Linked DNA regions of Caenorhabditis elegans. The protein of the gene in region 2 interacts with the protein of the main gene of each other region in a pairwise test. Each region holds a gene or a part of one and is shown on either strand. Other genes may lie near its edges.

The links.
Region 1: the proteins of rec-8 (region 2) and T16G12.7 interact in a two-hybrid assay, tested with the Caenorhabditis elegans proteins (one large-scale study listed by BioGRID).
Region 3: the proteins of rec-8 (region 2) and snr-5 interact in a two-hybrid assay, tested with the Caenorhabditis elegans proteins (one large-scale study listed by BioGRID).

What each region holds. Positions count from the first base shown.
Region 1 is NC_003281.10:10,036,942-10,043,775, forward strand, and holds T16G12.7 (Serine/threonine-protein phosphatase), read right to left. Parts: upstream 3,157-6,834; 5' UTR 3,149-3,156; coding exon 3,106-3,148; intron 3,053-3,105; coding exon 2,938-3,052; intron 2,497-2,937; coding exon 2,154-2,496; intron 2,108-2,153; coding exon 1,682-2,107; intron 1,635-1,681; coding exon 1,602-1,634; 3' UTR 1,517-1,601; downstream 1-1,516. Other genes in the region: M04D8.7 (DUF2700 domain-containing protein), read left to right, coding at 514-720, 917-1,130, 1,181-1,272; T16G12.1 (Putative aminopeptidase-2), read right to left, coding at 3,310-3,558, 3,609-3,723, 4,250-4,435, 4,481-4,615, 4,671-5,020, 5,068-5,162, 5,211-5,418, 5,552-5,800 and 3 more.
Region 2 is NC_003282.8:13,345,684-13,354,779, forward strand, and holds rec-8 (Meiotic recombination protein rec-8), read right to left. Parts: upstream 7,511-9,096; coding exon 7,458-7,510; intron 7,409-7,457; coding exon 7,209-7,408; intron 7,164-7,208; coding exon 6,967-7,163; intron 6,919-6,966; coding exon 6,803-6,918; intron 6,361-6,802; coding exon 4,916-6,360; intron 4,419-4,915; coding exon 4,271-4,418; intron 3,799-4,270; coding exon 3,701-3,798; intron 3,647-3,700; coding exon 3,558-3,646; 3' UTR 3,439-3,557; downstream 1-3,438. Other genes in the region: glr-9 (Solute-binding protein family 3/N-terminal domain-containing protein), read left to right, coding at 1-51, 93-242, 315-506; W02A2.9 (Plasma membrane proteolipid 3), read left to right, coding at 2,004-2,057, 2,773-2,892; Zinc finger protein mex-5, read left to right, coding at 8,047-8,160, 8,209-8,729, 8,775-9,096.
Region 3 is NC_003281.10:7,860,326-7,865,982, forward strand, and holds snr-5 (putative small nuclear ribonucleoprotein F), read left to right. Parts: upstream 1-1,744; 5' UTR 1,745-1,746; coding exon 1,747-1,843; intron 1,844-1,893; coding exon 1,894-1,996; intron 1,997-2,103; coding exon 2,104-2,161; 3' UTR 2,162-2,249; downstream 2,250-5,657. Other genes in the region: cuc-1 (Copper transport protein ATOX1), read right to left, coding at 280-407, 454-526, 606-614; putative transporter slc-17.3, read right to left, coding at 2,317-2,562, 2,615-2,768, 2,817-2,907, 2,952-3,084, 3,134-3,286, 3,460-3,593, 3,710-3,887, 3,933-4,166 and 4 more.

The DNA.
Region 1 (6,834 bases), on a different chromosome or scaffold from region 2:
ATTGAAAAAATTGAAAATATATCCTTTATGTCTACCGGTGGCCGAAGAATTGAAAATAATTATTAGACACTCAAGCTTGTCTGTGAAAAATAATTTTCACACATTCGCACCTTTCATTCTCGTTTCTCCTCGCTCGACTGGGACTCGTCTCCCTTTTCTGTGCGCAGATCAAGAGAATGGATTGCTTTCTGCGCTCGAATATCTCGTAGCGAAGTGTTGTTCGTAAATTAATTTGTTCGCAAATTTTCTTGGCCCAATCATTTCCTCATGCTTGAATAAACCTTTTTTTCAGTTTTTTGAATGAACGTTGGTCGATGGGTTACTATGGTGATGAACATAACCTATAATCATATACACCTGACTTCATTTTCTTGAAAACTTGAAAAGCTCCGCCTTTCGTTTTCAGATAAACTTTTTTTTGTCTTCTTCAATCGCCATTATAATTCTTAGTGTTTATAATTTATTTGCTGTTTTATCAAGTACAATTTAACTGACAACGCCGTTTCAGCCGTCATGAAAATTGGGTGCCTACCAATTCGTCCAGTGATTTATGCTCTCGCATCGGCCGGAATCCTTCGTTCAGGAGCTCAATTTTACTATGGCCCTCACGGCATTTTCCTGTCTCTGATTCCAATTGCCTACCTATTCTTCAATGGTTTCTTGATTTTCGCCGTTGCCAAGCGAGACGTTAAACACCTCAAATGGGCTCAAAGACTCACTGTAAGATTTTTTGCTCCATGCTCTTAAAGAGAGGCGCGATTTCTAAACCAATTCAGAAGCTCTGACTATAAGTTTTAAGTATAAAAATCAGAGCAATTTTCTAGTTGAATATCTAGTGTTCTGTATGATGTCAATATGGCCAAAGTTTTGAAACAAAATCACCTGCTAACCAACCAACAAATTCTCAATTTTTGAGATGACTGCAACAATTCTATCAGTGATCCCATTTCTACTGTTCCCAGTCGTGTCTGCCAGCTTCTTTGCATCGGGAGAAATAGAAGCAATAGAAAAGAACGGAACTCATTTTCGTCCTGAACATTACGGAAATATGACTTCCCCAGACTTTCGCTTTGTTTTCGGGGTCGTCGCCGGGTTCTGTGTTGAAATTGGAGCCGCGTTCTTTATTGCGGGTATTTGAAAGAATTAGGTATTAAAAAACCAACAAAAATTGAATTTTCAGTTGAGCTCTTCAAGTACATTCTTGTGAGCAGAATCTGGCTATCCGAAGTCAACTGGACCCTAATGCACACCGGGGGTTTCCAGGCTCCATAAATCATTGATTTGAAAGGAATAAACTATTGTTAACAAAATCTTTCACATTCTTGTAAAATTAAATGTACTAGGACTCCAAATTAAGCTGACATATATTGGGCTTCCGGCATTCGGATAATCAATGGATTTTCAAGAAAATACATGCGAAGTGTAGGTGAATAGGCACGTAGGCAGGAAAAGGCGAGTAGATATGTTAATCAATTGAAAGCTGGGTAAAAAATATGTATTTATTATGTTGAGCTTTAGAATTTCAAATTTATTCAAAATATTTTCACAGAAATAAAATACATGCATAAATTGAGAATTCTTTTGCTTTCTTCACTTGTAGTTCACTTTTTTGCATCGATGGAGGGTCTCATGATCTGAAATGAAATAATTTAATACTCTTTTCATTCTTTCTAAAATTTACCTGGAAGGAGCAAGTCAAGTTCTTGTCAACATTCATCATCGCAGCCGCATTGTCAAATTCTCCACAGTAATGAGGAGCTGAGAAAATTGTGACAAGACGTTTGTTGTTGAAGAATTCATATCCATCTTGAACTACTTGATGTGCACGTGCAACCAAATCAACGTCCAGTTTATTCATTATAGCTGTCAATGCTTTTGCTCCAAAAACTTGACCAACTCCACGGGTACTGTCCACAAAATCATCAACTGTTGAGTCAGGATCTGACCAGAGGATATCTATTTCGACGCTCGGATTAGCGACTTCTAAAACCGGTCTTTGAAGATTGCGAAGTTGATTCAAATTGTTCATCCGTTTACTGATTCCACCGTGCATACAAAGAATTCTTCCGGAGACCAGAGCAGTGTACGGCATATACGCAAAACAAATCTGGAACAAACATTTTAAATTTAATTTTAAAAATCAAAACACTAACTTGAAAGCAATTCCACATTGTTGTTCCACCCTTTGCTCCATATTTCCGTTGAACTTCATCCAAAAATCCATAGACACGGTTAATGGATCCGCACTCGTGATTCCCGCGTAACATGAAGAAGTTCCCGGGAAATTTGACTTTGTAGGCCAGGAACAGACAGGCAACTTCTAGACTTTGTTGTCCGCGATCGACGTAATCCCCCAGAAACAAGTAGTTGACCAATGGTGGGAATCCTCCACGATCGAAAAGGCGAAGAACATCCGAATATTGACCATGTACGTCACCACAGATCTTCACAGGAGCTTCAAGTTCGAGCATTGCACCTTGTTTCATGAATACATCCCTGAAAAAAATAGATTGTATAAAATTATTATTTTCCAAACTAGAAGTGTGGAAACGGACAAAAAAGCGTCCGAAGCTCCATTCCTTATTCTTGCCAAAACATATAGGCATTTTCCTAAAGCAGTCAGTCGTAGACACTTAGGTACACGCGTTGACAGACATGCCGAAGGCTCCTAGGAGGACCCGTAGATAGGTAGGAAAGGTATAGACTTCAAGTAGGCACGTAGACAGGCACAGAAAGGCCCATAGGCTGTCTCGCGTGAGTAGAAAACATGTAGGTAGGCAGGTAGGCTGGCACGTAGAAAAGCCTTCAGTAAGCATTTGAATAGGTTTGAAGTAGTCATGAGGTAGGTAAAAGGTGGGCATAAAGTATTGACGTAAATATGCAAGTAGATAAAACGTAGGCAGGCAGGCATCCTTCAGGCACACGGCTTATTCTTACTTGGCTGCATCCAACAAGGAAACAAGTGTCTTCTGGCTCATAATTGCTTCGAAATTGTTCCCGCCTGATCCAATGTTCAGGATTTTTACAATTATATCGTCTACATTTAGATCACCTGAAATTAATTTCTGAAGTGAGAGAAATCTGAAAAACTGCAAAAAATCTTACTTTTATTGTTGACGTTTCCATAGGTTGAACGGTTGTTTGCCATTCTCGACAAATTGAAAAATAAATTGATATCTTGGTTTGGGGGGAGGAGATCGCAAAAAAAACGTTTAAAAAAATAAAAATAAAAATAGCAATACACGTTTAATTATTTATTTTTTAAAATTTATTTTCAATTGCTAAATAATACTAGAAAATATTCAACATTTACAAATTAGGTGCTCCAAAATTCTTCTGAATCCACTCAAGGAACGGAGTTTTGTAGATCAACATCCAGTTGGCATTGCTATTAACTGTTAAAATTCCTTGTTTATAAATGTTCTTTTGAGCCGCATTAAGAAGATTATAATTGGAAGAATTCTGGAAATCCTTTGCCAATTCTAGTTGGTTTGAAGTTGACCAATTTTGGAACATGGCTTTGACGTATAGAGAGAAGTCAAACGGAGCATTGAGAATCTGAAAATTTGGATTTTAATATAGATAAATTATGAGATACTGGTGAGTACATCTTGAGTATTATCCAGCAAGAAATTGTAAAGAACATCTGATGAATCATCATGAACTGCAATTGAATTGAGAAGTGATGGTGGATAATCTCCACTCAGAATTGATCGAAGCATTCTGAAAATTGCATGAATTATTTTTTTCTTGAGTCAAAGGATCCCCTTATGTATGTTTTTATTTTTTTTAAAAATTAAAGATTGCTTGGCTTTTTTTGATCAGGAAAAAATTGTCAACGTCTCAAAATCTTACTAAAAATTGGAATATATTTGTCGGAGATGTTGTACAGATTTTACTGCAATTTTGCAATTTTTGTTATAACGTGATAAAAATATACTATGAAATTAAATTTTTCCAAAATTGCAGTAAAATCTGTACAACATCTCCGACAAAAATATTCCAATTTTTAGTAAGATTTTGAGACGTTGACAATTTTTTCCTGATCAAAAAAAAGCCAAGCAATCTTTAATTTTCCCAAAAAATTCAACATTTTTCATGTTGCAAAATGTTGAATTTTTCGGGAAAATTGGCACAATTATTTGAAAAATGGAAATCGTTGTCAATCTTCCAACAAAGCTTTGTTATAGGAAGTTTTGTCTTACTATTGTTTTGAATTAGTAACTTGACAATTAAACCTTAAACTAACGTCTTTTGCAAATCAAGATTTTGTACGCATCCCAGAGCATTCAAAAGATTAGATCCATCTGTTTGCAAGTAGCCAGCATTTTGTACAAACCACGAGTATAGGTTGTTCACTGTTGTAAAATCATCGATATTATTACTTTGACGAAGGCCATAACAATAAGTGGGTTGTCGAAGATTTGGATGAATTCTGGAAATAAATTCTCAATTGATATATTACTTCTTTCAAAACTACCCTGAGCACTTTCCAGTTCCAGAAAGCGAGTACTTGCATTTCAATACAAAGTTGTTGAACAAAGTTAGAGCAACCTGCCTAGATTGTCGATTAACAGCCAAGTTATTGACGTTTACTAGGAGTTGTACAATTCGACTGAAAAATTTATTTAGAGAACAATGTTTTTCTTAACTTTTTGAAACCAACTTACTCGTTTGCCCAAAGGCCATTCGTGTTCCATTGGAACTTGGACACTGCGTTTTTCGTAATTTGAATAACATAGTTTCTTACAGTATCAATTTCTGGTTGGTATTGGAATCTATTTAACATTTCAGTGAAGAACTCGATAGCCTGTTCCCATGGTGCAAGTGAATCCTCGTTTACAAGATACAATGTCAAATCCAGGAATTTTGTCATCTCCCAGCGGCCAGACTGATAGAAAAAGTTAGCATCATCGAGCAGCATTGCTCTTGTCGTAGAAGACATTGTGTTCATATTTGAGAGAAGTTGAGCCTGAATGCTATACCAGGACTTATCATCGTAGTTTATTCTAGCGAAACTCTGAAATTATTATGTATTATTTCTACAAAACTTTACACTTTTCATACCGTACTACCCGCATTATCAACTCGGTAACCAGTTGGCAATGGTCGAAGCCAAGTTGCATCGTTTCCACCGGTGAAATTCACAAACCAGTTGAAGTCTGAAAGTTTATAGATGCTTATATGTACAGAAGAATTTCATTTCTTACCTAGTGCCCCGGGGGTTTGAGTAAAAAGGGGCACATTCCAGAGAGTTTCATCGCTCATACATGATTGTTGGTTAGCTTGAACTGTAGATGTTCCACGAAGAGTGAGGGTAATGATTGGATATGAGGTTTGAAGAGTATAGGGGTCCATAAATGAAGATACATCTAGAGGTTGACCATTCCAATCGGTTATATTGTGTCTTTGTGCAGCCTGAAAATTGTACTTTTACTAAAGTAAATCTTGGCCAATTTTTGACAAATTTTTGGCATGGAAACTAAAGATTTTTTTAAATATAGTGAAGAAATAGAAGAAATTTGTCCGTTGCTTCATTTTGCACGCTTACCACAGTCAAAGAAGTCCATAAATTTCTCGGACTAGCATTAACGTATCCATATTGTGTTAGATAACTAGACAATCCTTCTTGGAAAACTGCTGGAGTCAAAACATTGTTGAGCAGATTCAAAAGAGCACTTCCTTTGTAGTATGGTTCAATTCCAAATACTGGTGGAGTATCACTGATGACTGGTTTAGCAACTCCAGGAATACAGTCGTATTTTAGTGCAATATGGTTCATGTAGAAACGGTTATAGTCCTGGAAGAAACATGAATTTCAATAAAAGACAACTTTAAGTAGCTTCTTACGATCGAATAGGCATGTTGCTCTGGGAATGTGTTATCGATTCCATTGGCAAACCAGTATTGTGCGAATCCTTCGTTTAGGAAGATATCATTCCACCAATCAAGGGTTACAATATCGCCAAACCATTGGTGCACAACTTCATGAGCTGTTGTTTCAGCTACTTCTGTTATATCTCGAGTTGTTGCATAGTCAGGATCGAACATGAACAGGCTGTACTCTCCAATGATAAGTCCCCAATTTTCCATTGCACCAGCATTCATCGTGTACTCCGGAAGTGCCATGACATCTGAAATGTGGTATTCAATTTGAGCGTGAAATCTTGAACCAAATCTTGAACTAAATCTTGAATGCATTCTTCAATTTTGCAACAGTTGGGTACGATTTTGCCAAGAATTTTCAAGTTTGATCCTGTTCTTTTCAATGTATTTCTTATGGTTACAAATTTTAAACGAGACTTATTTTAAATTAAAAAAAACATTTTTTCCAAAAAAGGTGCAACCCAACTTTTGCCAACTTCAACTCCAATTTAAACTTTTTGGGCTCAGACTTCGCACTAAAAATTGCCAGCAAATGGCTAGTATCAATTATTTGTCAAGTAATTTCTGACACATCTGAACACAAATTTACCGAGTTTCTTTAACGGGAAGTCGTAGCTGAAATAGTTTTCCATAAAATCAATTGTTCCTGCTGTGACATTGAGTGCAAATTCTCCATATTGTTCCATTCCAGACCATGTCCAAACTCTTGTTAAGACACCTGTTCGTGTTACGGTCGCCAGATTTGAGAAGTGGCCAACACAGAGAGCAAGAAGATATGTTGACTGAAAAAGTTGGGAAAGTGTTTTATTTATGAAAAAGGTTTTTCAGCTCACCATTTGATTTGTTGTTGCAAATTTGGTAGTGGTCCATCCGTTGTCATAAATTGTTCTTTGAATATCAACTTCATTTGACAAAGCAATCATGTCGGTTGGATGGAACACGCTTACT
Region 2 (9,096 bases):
ATTATGAATCAGGCGTTTATACAACGAACGTTCAATAAATATTTCAATGAGGTGACGTTGAAATAAACGATTTTTAATCCAAGTCAGTTCAGGGCTTCAAACTGGGTTTTATTCCAAAATGTGAAGTAACTGAACCAACTGCTTCGGATGCAACAAAACCATTGGATATTGAGTCCGTGATTGGTGTATTTACAATTGGAGCATTGGGGGTTGCTGCTTCTCTAATGGTTTTTGTTTTTGAGGTAGGAGAATTAAATTTTACTCGATTTTCCAATAACGCTTCCAAAAAAATAATATCTTCAAATCTATCTCAGATATACCACTACTGGCATGTTCGTATCCTTGCCCGTCGTGCCCGTATGCGTGATCCATGGAATGTACGTAACCTGGCACGTATTGCCCAAATACATTTCACGACACACGAGCAATATTCGGACATTGATGTTATGCGTCTCGTTGATGCATTTAATGCCACTTCATCGTCATCCGATACCTCCACATTGTGAAATCTTTACTTATTGATGATTCATTTATTTACATTTGTTAAACACTTTTTAATGTTTGTGTCACATGATTCATCCTCTCCGAGACACACTCTCTCTACTTATAATCCTTCCTCTCCACCCTTCGACAAGTTATCAGTTCAACCATTTTCGGCACTTATTTTCATCAGTTTGATGGAATTTTAAACTCTTTTTGATTTGTAATACATTTTGCTCTGAAATTTCCTTTGTTCTTGTATTAGAAGTTAAAGTACGGCAATTGCAGGTTTTCAAAATTTCCGGCAAATCGACAATTTCAGCAATTGCCTGTTTTGGATATTTCGGGCAATTTTGATTTATGGCTATGGGCAATTCCGGCAATTGCCGGGTTCTAAAATATTTGCCGAATTGCCGAAAAATTGCCAAAATTCGATTGTGCACCCCTGAGTCCAGGGAAACTCTTTAAAAAATGTTATTTTTTCCAAAATTTTTCTGAAAGTTATATATATATATAATAAGTGTAAACTTGAAGTTCAAAAGTTTTATCATTTGAAAATTTGAAAGCAGCTTATCAGACCTCTCGTGACTCTCACCTTCGAGTAAAAAGGTTTCAACGACCTGACTCCTTTGGAGTGTCCTTGAATTTGATACTAGAGCACTTGAAAAATTTTTTGGAAAAATCATGCATTCCATTTATTTAATAAGCTTCAGATACAACGGCGAAAATGTTTCAGGAAATTTTGAAACGCCTTTTTTTCAAAATAAAAAACCTGTTGCGGTTTATACTTATTAGGCGCCGCTCTTTTCTTGGCTAGTGTGTATTTCACATAATGTTTTGCAGTATTCTAATAAATTCTGTCGGATAGATTTATATAATATGAACACTTTTTTCGTAATAGTTTACTCATGGCTGCTTACATCGAATATAGAATAGTATACTATTTATAGCATATAGCATTTATAGTATACCTTTTCTAATAGTAAGAGAAATTTCGCCTTTTCCTAATTTTCATAATACTTATGTTTTCGAGATTCTAACGATTTCGCGAACTCTGTAGAATTTTTTAAAACTACGAGTGCCTCTGCGGAAACTTTAAATATTAAAAAAATTGCATTCTCTTTTCTTTTAAAAAGTGCAAAACTAGAGAAAACTTAAAGTTTTAAATGTTTGCAAATGAATCATATTCCTAGAAGTCACATATACATTCGTCATTCTCATTTTCCATGTCAACACAACGAGTACAAGAAACCAAATTGTGACCTGATAAGAGCATTATTAGTCAGGCAGGCATACACATCATTTATTTTTTTTGAATTCAAATCGATATCTTATCAGATGCCATAATATTATCAGTACGTACTCTCCTCTTCTATTGTATAAATAAAAAGACAATAAAACAACCCACACAACAGCTCTTCTTCTCATTCTTTTTCATTGTCTTGATACCTCGTTGTGAATAAATTTCTTATTTGTTTTCAATTTTTTAAAAGTATTCCAGCTCTACTAACCAACAAACCAACATGCCAATTACCTGCACCGATATCCCGAAATTCATCTGTGCTCTTCTTCTCCCAGTAAGTGTTAGCGTTTTGAAAAAATTTTCATTGTCAGATATAATCACGGAAATTGCGGGAATTTAATCGCAGACTTCTCAACTGATTCCGCATGATTAAGAGCGTGCTGACGTCACTTTTTTGAAAAAAAAATTCCCGCATTCTTTGTAGATCAAACCGTGATGGAACAGCCTGACACCACATGCATTTATTTATTTAAATACGTTTGTGAAAAAAAACTAGAAAAAAAATCATTAAAAATTGGGACCTGAATGTTCTATTACCTAGACGCGAAACTTTACGATTTTTACGCCAGGAATACGGTAAACGATCTCAACACGACAATTTTTTCAATGGGAAGAGGTGTGCACCTTTAAAGAGTACTGTAACTTCAAAATTTAGTTGCTCCTCGATTTTGCATAGTTTTTCCAAAAAAACATAGGTAAAAACATAACCATACCATTTTTAAAACAAATCCTGAGAAAACCTGCGCAAAAACGAAATTTTCTAATTACAGTAGCCTTCAAAGGCGCATTCAAATAACAAAAAGTTATCGTGTCGAGACCGGGTACAGTATTTTTGACGCAAAAATTGTAAAATTTTGGGTTTAGTACAGTAATTTTAAAGGCGCGTGCACAACACTTTTGAATAAATGCAATTTTCATTTAAAACTGTAAAGCTGTAGCGTTCAAAGGCGCAGGTATTCAAAAATTCGAAAAAAAGTTTCAAATTGCAGCCAATTGGTGTTTGGATGGAAAAAGGATGCGGAGCCGACTTGGTCATCAATATTGTGCTCACAATTCTCGGCTTCATACCCGGAGTCATCCACGCTTGCTTCATTATTTGTTGGTACTAACCTTGATTTCATATAAATAATTATATTTTATATACTCACCCGGGTCATATTATTCACGTTTTCATAAATTAATATTTTGTATTTCCTACCAATTTTTATTAGCTAGAGTTAGGGCTGTTATGAGGGACGTCCCTTTTTGGGGGGCGGGGGCGATCATTCGTCCCCCTCATGGGGGCGAGGGACGCCCCCGTCCCCTGGTTGGGGGATGGGGGACGACCCTCGTCCCCGATGTGACGAAAAGTCGCGTCCTATTCATTTTTACTTATATTAGATATTCACCTCATTTAAAATATTTTTACGTGAAACTCGTTTCCGTTAAATTGTGCGGGTCCATCGTGGATATTCCACACAAAAAACGTGTCACTTTAATAATTATGAAGCAAAATCATAACTTGTTTTGCTATCGACATGGAGGATACAAACGCACATTTTTCGCACTGGATGAAGGAAGCGCCCCCACGAGGGGACGAGGGGCGCCCCTTTTCGTCCCTCATAACAGCCCTAGCTAGAGTCGTTTAACAACAGGAAAAAAAGTTAAAAAAATGAATGGTACAGTAGTTTTCAGTTTTAAAGATTAACGAACAAGGCAAAGCAATAAAATACAACAAAACAATGGAAGCTATGAAAAATTGGGAAATGATACAGTATCAATTATATTAGCAGCTTCACATTTCTTCGTGGCTGATGTGACGTACTAGAATTGGAAAATAAGGATCTTCTTGCTTCGCTTCAACCTTCATATTCTTGAGACTCACTGAAAAATATTTATTTTTATTTTAATTTGTGTCTCAACGACTAAATATCTTACAAAGAAGGCCCTCAAAGGCGGTTGCTGCCTTTTTACGATCGTGATCCGCAGTGAATTCATTGAAATTCACCCATTCTGGATATCTTGCTTCTGCTTCGCTGAAAAATTGATTTTTTTTTGATTTTTCGTAGTTCCAATTACGATCAAAACTGAGCGATTGACCTGCCAATGCGTCGCACAGAAAAAGAGGCGGGGTGTTGTTCTGCAAGCCTGCGGCTCGTGGACAACTATGAAATAATTTTTCGCGAAAATTCTGGATTTCGGAATATTTTCGCTAATTTCGTTGTTGTTAATATTCGAAATAAACTGACTATTTATGGTATTTTTCCGGCGAAAATGGCAAATTTTCGTTGAATAAACTCCAAATTTTTAGATTATTTCGAATATTAAACACAAAAAAATAAGCGAAAATTATCCGAAATCAAGCATTTTAGACAAAAATTTATTTACAGTTTTCCACAATGGCTGGCGAGCCGCAAGTTTAAAAAAACGACGCTCCGCCTCATTTTGTGTGCGGCGCCTTGCAAAATTTGCAGGTCGATCTTTCTGTTTTAGTGTTAGTATACACACTTGAGCAATTCCTTGTGGATGTTGAGCCGATTATTGGGAAGGAGACTTCCAGATGAATAGAAGAATAGTTCATCTTCTCTAGCATCTCGAGTCCGTTCTTCATCCTCGAATAGTCGATTACGGCGAGTATCCTCTTCCAGATCGTCAGCTGAAAATATTTTATTTTAAACTATAAAGTGGGGGCGACAACCGAAAGTTTGAAAAATAATCGGCGAGTATAACAAAAAAATCGAACAACGAAAATTCTCGATTTTTCAAAAATCCAAAAATAATGTTTTTTACTTTAGTAAAAAAAAAACCAAAAGCCCGACACAAACCATCGGTTTGCTTATTTTTTTAAAACAATTTTGGTCATTTTCTACCTAAAGAAATCCAAGATATTCTAAAGAATAAAATTATATGTTTTCTTATTTTTTTTATGAGCAAAAAAAAAATTGATTTTATGATTTAATGTGATTTTTATCGTTCATTCTCTGAAAATGTAAGAATTTTCGATTTTCGAGGAAAAAATCGAAACATTTTTGACCTTTTATTCCGAAAATTGGAATTTTTTTTTGGTAATTCGAGAACTGCCCAATTTAAACATTTTCGGCAATTTTCGGCAAAAATTATTTTCAACACTAAATCGACATTAAAATATCTCACTTCTCATAAATTGAACCCCTAAACTGCTTTTTTGACGGCGTCGAACATTTTCAAGTTCTTCTTCGGTTCTCATCGTCAAAAGTGGATCAATTTCTTCAACTGGAATAGGATCCAAATTCAGTTCAGCAATGATGCTCGTCTCCCGGCGTTTCTCTGGAGTTGGGAACAGACTAATAACTGAATATTTCAAATCTTTGATCGGCGTGGGCGTACGAGCAGTTCTTATTGGATGCGGGGGCGCTTCATATTCCAAATTCTCAAAAACTGGATTCTCCTGTAGCTGTCTTGGCGGGTTGATATTATCCGTAGATGGAAATTCTTCAGGTTGACGAGGTTGCTCTTCTAGAAGTAGAGTATCCTCAACGATGCGATTTGGAGACAGAAGACAAACTTTTGCATATTTATATTCTTCCTCTTCTTCCTCATCTTCATCCTCTTCATCATCGCTCACTGGACTTCCAACAGCTTGATTATAACAAGCTTTGAACATATCCCGAACCTCTGGAGGAAGACGATATCCGATACTGAAAACTGGTTCTGGTAAGTTCATGAGCACCGCGACTGCATCCGTTTTTGGTGGAATCTTTGCTATTACATCCTCCTTCTTACGAACCAGTGAGGAATAATCGGCTTGTAACACTTTTTGCACAGCTTCGTCGATTTCCAGATCATCGCTGTGGATGATCGGCAGATTGCGTTTCGATTTTTTCCGTTGAGGTAGAACATCATGAATTTGGGAGTCTATTGCGAAACTCGGATCTTCCGGTCGCACAGTTGAATGAAGATCTGTCAAATCGGTTTGATTAATCGGAGTTACTGGACGCGATGATGGTCTTCTTCGTGCTCTTTCCAACGCGTCTTCTTCCTCTTCGACTTTTGATTTCTTTGCTGGAGGTGGTAGAATTACATCTTCAAACAATTCTAAATCTTTCGGCAATGGTGGCAGTCGGCTGTTCTCGTCATCGGGTAAATCGTTGATCAATTGAAGATATTCAACAACCATATCCTGCTGACTCGCTGGAATGGTGACAAGATCAATTGCATCTAGTTGTGGTGGAAGCTCTGGCTGTGGAAGCTCAAGCTGTGGCGCGGGCTCCTCGATAATTGGTTGAATGGGCTCTTGAATAGGCTCCTGGGGTGCTGGTTGTTCCACGGTTTCACTCGGGAGCAGAGCAATAGAGACAAATTTTGTAGGCTCTTCTTGCACAATTTCAGAAGCTTCTTTGGGGAGCTGAAGAGCCTCTTCTTGCTCTTCCTGGAGGATAGCAGATCGTTTTCTGGAATCGACATCTATCGGAAATTTCTCGCCAAGTGTGATTTCAGGGATCTCAGGGAACAAAAGTTGGCTGAAGTCGGCAATTACCGCGTCATTTCGTCGTTCCTTGTTGTGCTCATTTGAACCGTTACCCTCGACAAACGTGGAGTGCATGGTGATTTCTTTTTCTCTGAAACACGAAAATTTTACTTTTGAAATTAATTTAAAATTAAACTATCAATCCATCAATTTTGCAAAAAGCAATGTCGCACAGAAATAGAGGCGGAGTGTAATTTCTCTACCCTGTGGCACGGTTTTTTCAGAGCTTTTGTTGATTTTTTTAAAATAAAATTTCGATTGTAATTGGTTTATTCTCTTTTTTTCGAATGGAAATGCAATCCGCATAAATTCTCATAAGATTATAAGGATATTTAGAGCTTCATTGGTTGTAAAAACAGGAAATATCCTCGCAATCTTATGCAAATTTAATTGGATAGCATTTTCATACGCAAAATGCGAATAAATCAAGGAAAATCGAAATTTTATTGAAATAAGGTGAAAAACCGTGCCGCAGGGTTCATGTGCGTCGCTGCTTTTTTTCAAAATCTGGGATCGATTATTCAGTTCCGAACCTCAGGTAAGGCTCAACACATCCATAGATCGCATTCAATTCTGAATTATTGTCAATCCACTGATTCATGTTGGGCAACGCATCCATCATTATAAAGTCTCCTGGATTTCCATTGATCTAGAAGAATATTCTTGATTATTGATTATTTAATTAACTTGAACTCACTCCCAATTCGTCGCCAATTGCTTGTAAATGAGCCAAATCAACCCGATCCAACTCCTCGACGCACATAATAGGCTTAGATCTCAGTCTTGCGAATTTATCTTCTTTTCTCTGCAACTCTTGGTTTCTGTCGAACCTTTCAGCCATCAGCAAAATGAAACTTTTCTTCTTCATGAGCTCTTTGAGCTTCTCGACGTCTCCTGAAAATATTAATTGATTTCTGACGATACAATTCTCCAACTCACGTTTCAAGAAATCAACCTGAACTTGATGGATCAAAACTGTTCCATATGTGAGCAGGGATAGCAAATAAAGTCCAGTTTTTGTTGCTGAGCCCCTGTGCCGTTCGGGAACCATTTCAATGATTGAATGACACAGTTCCGGGAGATTTTGGTCCAAAATCTCTCTTCGTGACAGCTTTTTCGAGTCGCCGGTACCAAGAATCCTGGAAAAGCAGAAATTATAAATTAGATTGAAAAGATGAGAAAACTCACCAAGCCACGTGAAACACGGCATCTTTTCGAATTACTTCCGCAGAGACAACCATCTGCAAGAAAATACATTTTCGACTGATTTTACGGTTTTCACAACGGCAAAATATCAGTTTTTAAAAAATTAAACCATAAAACAAATAATATAACCCAATTTTTACATCAAACCACAAGAAAAAAATACATTTGGGCCCACGGATAAAGAAATTAAAAAAATACATTTTTTAAAGGCGCACCGAATTAAAATTCATTTGGGTCTTACCGCGTATACCGTACTCCGTTTGTTTGATCATTTTTGTCAGCGCTGGCGGTTGTTTTTTCATTTCATTTCTGCTTCAAAGACGTTTTCTCGAATAATTTTTCGTTTATTCTCTTTTTTAAAATTAATTTCTAGCCGTAAATGTTATAAATTCACCCATTTAACGCAAATTTCATGGTAATCTCATGGAAAAATGCAGTTTCTTTGTTAAAGAAAGCTTAAATAGCAAAAATTCCCCGACTTTCCCCAAAATCCTGCTCGATTTTCCGTTTTCTCATTGTATTCTCTCTTAATTAATTTTATCGATAATCAATTGAATGTTTCAGACAGAGAATGAAAGCGGCATCAAATAGTGTCTCGTCGGCCGGAGGATCAGTGTCACCTACGACAACCCAGCCACCACTACCACCAGGGCAGTCGTCACATCCTCAAATCTACGATCAACAGGTATTCACAATCAACAAATGTTGATAATATTACAGTTATATTTTTCAGATGCAGTACTACTTCGCGGCTGCCATGCCGAACCAGCCAATGGCGACGTATGCGGCACAAAATGGATCTTCTCAACAGTACGCCCCAGCGGCTCCATATTATCAAGATGCCAACGGACAGTATGTGCAGGTTCCCGCGAACGGATCAATGGCTCCTCAACAGCACATGATGGTTTCTGGTCAACCGTATCTCTATATGGCTCAACCACAACAAGGAGCTCAGCAAGTCATGCAGTCAGGACAACCACAGCTCATCTATTATCAACAATCAATGGCTCCACAAGCGGCTCCAATGTACTTCCATCCTATGCAAGCCGCACCGATGCTTCCAGAACAAATGGGTGTGATGCCACATACGCAGCCGGCAATTCCACCTCAACAACAGCCAAGACAAGTGGGAGTGGAGATTAGTAGCACACGCACAGCTCCATTGACCTCGTCTACTCCTCTTCCAACAAGTCTCGAATACGAGACTGTTCAGCGTGATAATCGCAACAGGAACATCCAATTCAGATATCATCGGTAATATTAGTTTGAAATTTAATATAAAAATTATATGTTTTTCAGTGTTATGGAGCATGACGAGTTGCCGATCGATGAGATCTCAAAGATCACCCTTGACAATCACAACGATGACACGATGAGCGCTGAAAAGGAAAATCATTTCCATGAACATCGTGGCGAGAAGTTCGGTCGTCGTGGATTCCCAATTCCAGAAACTGACAGTCAACAACCACCCAACTACAAGACTCGTCTTTGCATGATGCACGCATCTGGAATCAAACCATGTGATATGGGTGCTCGATGCAAGTTTGCTCATGGGCTCAAAGAGCTCAGAGCTACTGATGCTCCGGCTCGCTATCCGAACAACAAGTACAAGACAAAGCTG
Region 3 (5,657 bases), on a different chromosome or scaffold from region 2:
ACGGTTACACCGGATGTACGCGTCGACGCTTTAATCTAATAAGGATAAGGTTCAATGCATGAAAAGGTGTTTACATTTGAAACCTTCTATTTCGGTTAAAAGAACTCGAATGAAATATTGCATCAGAAAATCTATAGTTTAGAAAATGCGTTTATTTTTAGAATAGGACAATTTTACAAGCAAGAGTCATAAATTAATACAAAAATTACAGAAATGTCAAAAAATAACGATATTCACAACCATTCGGATAGAAATTAAAGAGACAATCAAAAGGGTCATTTATTGTAGTTGCTTGATCTCTTTTCCTGTTTTCTTCAGAGCTTCAAGTACATCAGATGCTGGTAAATCAGTTGTAACTGTGATTTTCTTGGTTTCCACGTTAATATCGTCAATTTTGATTTTGTCTTCTGTAGAATAATAGGATTAATTTGATTAACAAAAAGTAAACCAAACCTCCAAGCTTTCCTAGAACTTTTCGCGCAGCATTTGCACAGCCATTGCATGTCATGCCCATTTCGAAAACGTACTGAAAATGTTCAAATTATTTTTTTTTTCACAAATATGAGAATATTTAATTGTAATTTGTAAAAAGTTAAATAATTTACCTGTGTCATGATATTTGTTGAGTCAGAAATCTGGAAACTCTGCTTCTGCTTGCCTGAAAAACGTTAATTTGAATGATTGGAATTAGTACAGTCGAAAAGAAATGAACAAAGAGACGCAAAATGGAGAGACAGTGATAGGGCGACTCGTGGTCAATGCTTTATCTCTGAGAATTTGCATCATTCGACATTTTTTGATCAAGTTTTCAAGAAACTGCGATAATTAAAAAAGGAACTATTGAGATGGGACAACTCGAATGGTTTAAGCAACTTTTAAATGTTTTCCAGTTTTTTTTTTTACTTTTTGGAAAAATTTATGGAAAAATGAGAAAGAAGCTTAGAAACAGGATAAAGACACCAAATGACGTCACAGCTTTGCATTAATGCATCTTCTCTATTTTCTCGGCGTCTCACTCATCTTCTACTTTGAAACGAGCGTTTTTATGGGGTGAGAAAATTATCGATTTTAAGGGTGATCAGTTAAAGAGAAAAATAAAGACGATAACATTTTGATGGAGCCTGTTAAATGTTGTGAATTGGAAGAAATAGAGCCTTATATAAAGAACTGTTTTATCATCTACAGTAGTCCGAAAGCCATTTAGCAGGATATTCGAGGCTGAAGAGAAGTTAACTATATTTAGATAGCATAACTTATTAAAACTCAAAAAGTACAAGGACATTGAAAAAGCGGAAAATACAAATACTCAGTTTAAATTAACTAAAAAACCAAAACCCACATCTTTTTCATGCATGATGCATGGGTATGATTAATTTTATGTCGTCAAGTATGGTGTCGCATACGCAGTCTGCAGTATGTCGTATTATCTGATGCTAGCGCAACTTTCGAAAATTCAAGGTTCTTTTTTCATTTTTATGGAGGATTTCGCAGCGTTTTAACCTTTTTAAATGTGTTTTGTTGAGTTTATGTTTATTAAAACAACTTTGTCACTATTAGAAAATAGATACATCTTTCCATCTCACTGAAAAAACCGTCAGATGGGTTTTAAACTTCTTAAATTGTTCAAACATAACAATTGTGATTCGGAAACGCTTTGAATGTATTTTTATTGCTTAAATTACTTGTGTCCTTCACTATTTTCGATATCCCTCGTTTCAAAATATATTATTTAAAAATATTTCAGAAATGTCCGCAGTTCAACCAGTGAACCCAAAACCGTTCCTCAACAGTCTCACCGGAAAGTTTGTCGTTTGCAAACTGAAGTGGGGAATGGAGTACAAAGGTTTGTATTGACATAATGAAATATTTCACCAAAAGCGCCAAATGTTTAAGGTGTCCTTGTTGCTGTCGACTCCTACATGAATCTGCAGCTGGCTCACGCCGAGGAGTACATTGACGGAAACAGTCAAGGAAATCTCGGAGAGATTCTTATCCGGTTGGTGCATTTTTTAAAAGAAAAAATTCAAGCCGTAGAAACTAAAGTTATTACAATCTTATGCACATTTATATCGTAGTAAATCTTGAAAAATGTTCTAACTTTAGATGCAACAACGTTCTCTACGTGGGAGGCGTGGACGGAGAAAACGAGACGAGTGCCTAAATTCTTCAAACCCTTCTCAACAATTGATCTTATGTTCACAAGTTTTCTGTCTTTTTCGCACATTCTTAATCAATAAATTATAATTATCTTATTAAAGAAGTTTTTAAAATATTTATTAAATGAAAAAAAAAATCATCAGCAAATTATGTAAATTATCAAAGACACAGCGAATCCTCTTTCACCAACGTGGCGCTCATTTCATTTTTGACATCTACTTCTTCAACAACTACAATACCATTCTCAATTGTCTTCAGCTTCTCTTTCTCATTCATCTCCTGATCATCCTCAACTTTAGCCCAATCTTGTAATTCTCCTGATCCGAATAACAAGAATATTGAACCAGAGAAAATATGTGCCAGTGAGCATCCTATGAAGATATTCTGCCACTCCGCAGCGGTTCCCTAAGAATATGGATAGCAAGTAGATTTGTCAAAAATCTCTAAAATAGCTTACGTCTTTTCTGAACATGCTCATGACTGCAGGAGTTGTCAATCTACCAATCATTGCAACAAACATTGAAATTGCAGACATGGTTGCAGTATATTGTGGTGCCAAACTGAGTAGTGATGTGTAAAATCCACTCACAAATGTTCCCATTGAGCTATACCTGAAGACTTTAAATTTGGAAAAGTCGCTGAAAAGTATCGAAACTCACATTAAACAGAAGAAAATAAGGCCAGTTGTTGGATTAGAGCAATCGACAAAGAATGCAAGTAAAATAAGTGAGAAGGAACTCCCAAAACTTGCTGAAATAAATACTATTTCTGGAAACTTGCAAAAATCAACTGACCAACACCATGTGATACCTTTACAGCTTTAGTATTACTGAGAATCTTATTTTCTTTTAATTTATCTATTCCAATACCCCAAACAACTTTGAATATCATATTGAAGATGTTGGGAATTGCAGTAAATGTACCATTCTGAAATGATTACAAATAAAAAATAATATTGAAATGTTGAGTGTCTTACAGCAATAACGCCCAAATGTAGAACTTCTTTGAAATATGAAGGCAAGTAAATTTGAAATAGTGTCATGAAAAGATTGACAAAGAAATGACATTGAAGTTGACCAAGAAATGCAGGAGAAGTTAGAATTTTAGAGTATGGAATCGAACGGGTTTTCTGAAAGTTTCAGAATAACATGATATGATTTTTATTCTAAAACTAGAGTGCTAAAACGTTTTCCTGTATGAGAAGATACTTTAATTTTTTTATTTTGTATTTTGTCTCGAAGTTATTTGGATTTCGAATTATTTACTACGGTAAGTACATTCCCAAAAAAATTTGTTACTCACTTCGGACTTGTGCACTTTCTTTACCACATTTGCCAATAAGTACTCTTTCTCCTTCTTTGTCATCATTTTTACTTTTGCCGGATGACTAGATGCTGTGAAGAACCAGAGAATCGACCATCCAGTAGCAAATATTCCTGGAAATAATTTAATATAATATGAAATCCAGGAAAAGTTGTCTGAATAAAAGTTTGAAGATTATTTAGGTAGAAAAATCCCGACAAAACTTAAGTTTTCAATTCCCTACACATACCAGCAAAATAAAAAGTAGCTGGCCATCCCAAATCAGATGCACAAACCGCTGCTACCATAGGACTTCCTGCAGCTGATGCAATTTGATTACCTAATGTAAAAATTGATAAAGCTGTGCTCTTTTCTGAGCTGGGAAACCAATTCCCAATAATTGCATTGTTCGTAGGAAATACAAAACCCTGGAACTTTCATAAGTATTTATTCTGCAACTGATCACATTGTACCTCTCCTAACCCCATTCCAATTCTTGCCAGGAAAACTGAAAAATATCCGAAATGTGTCGCCAAAAAAGGAGTTATTACGGTAACCAAAATGTAAAGGGCTACAGAAATTTGAAGTACGTGACGTGGAGAAAAGCGCTCAATGAAGAACATTGAAGGGAGTACTGTAATAAGTGATCCCCAAAATGTTCCAGAAAATATAAGATTTTGTTCGTAGCTGTTCCATACCAATTCACCCTGAAATTAGAATATACCAGATTCAAATAAGTAAAACAATTGTACCCCATAATCAACAACAACTTTCTTTTGCCCATCTTCATCCATCAAACCACATTGACCATTAGATCCCAAATTAATCTGAAAACAATACATACAAAATAAATCTGAATTCGTTTCACAAACCTCCTCTATAATAGAAATTTCAGAGACATTTGAATTTCCGGCCAATTTAATTTCATTTTCCACTGCTAAAGCAGTAGAATTAACCATACAAGTCATTGTCAGTGCAAAATGAATTCTCATAAAAGTTGTGCAGAAAAATCCGATCTGGAAAGAAAAAGTTACCAAAATTTTTGGCATATTGGTAAAAGTAATACTCACCATACATAGTAGAACAATATGAAGCCGCCGGGAAAATGGGTGAAATAAAGCTAAAATTGGGTAAAAGGTTTTTGAAGGAAGCATACAATGATTACATACAACTCGGAAGAGTTGTCAATTCATTGGGATATTTGATTGTCGAATTCGACGGGAATAAACTGCTTAATTTTAAAATCAGTTGGAAAAATTTTAGAAAAATTCTCACGAAGGACATTCCTCTTTTCAAAAAACGATCGAATTATGGCAGAAAATACAACTTACGGAATTTTTTTGCCATTTTGAAATGAGATTATAGAATTTATACGAATATTGAGATCAATAGGTTTATAAAAACTTTTTTACGAAATATATAAAATTTTCAACAAAAAACGAGTCAGTCACAACTTTCTCTGACCTGAAACACTCATTCTTCATAAATTCTTCAAATTGATTGTGCTCTTTGTGAGTAAATTCATCATTTTTTGATTATTTAAGAAACTAACGATTATTGTCAATGTAGTTTAAGAAATTTCAGTTCAAATGATAAGAAAATGATTTTTTCAGGTGGCTTGGATGTAGTCGTGTTTTATTATTTTTAAAGATTTTCTTGTATCTTTTGCAGAACAGTTTATTCTGAACCTTAAAAAATCGGGATGTACCTCCTCGTCCTTTCAATTTGTGTAAATCATCGAATGGTTGTAGTGAACAAGTCGATTTTTTCAATTCTCATTTTCTTATCAGCGATCTTTGAACAATGACATGATCAATTCCAAAAGCAGAAACTCTGTCCCGAAAGGAAAACTGAATTGCTTTTTATGATGAGCATTTGTGAACTACTCATGTTATGTAAAGAACGTTGAAAGATATATAATAACTCCCTATATTGTGATCTTTCACAGATGCTGGGAACGGATGGTAGTACCACAAAGATGTGATCGCATAATCGTATGGCCAATTCCACCAATGAATCTTGCATTCAACAGTATTATTCCTGATGATAAACTGACTTTCCACATTGGATTGTTAGAGTTGAAATATACCCATCAAAAAGAGATCGTAAAGAAGTGTGATTTACCAGGATAATTAATCTTGTTTGAAATTAATTTATTGAAAAATAAAGTATGTCGTTCATTGATTCTTGCCGTTTCA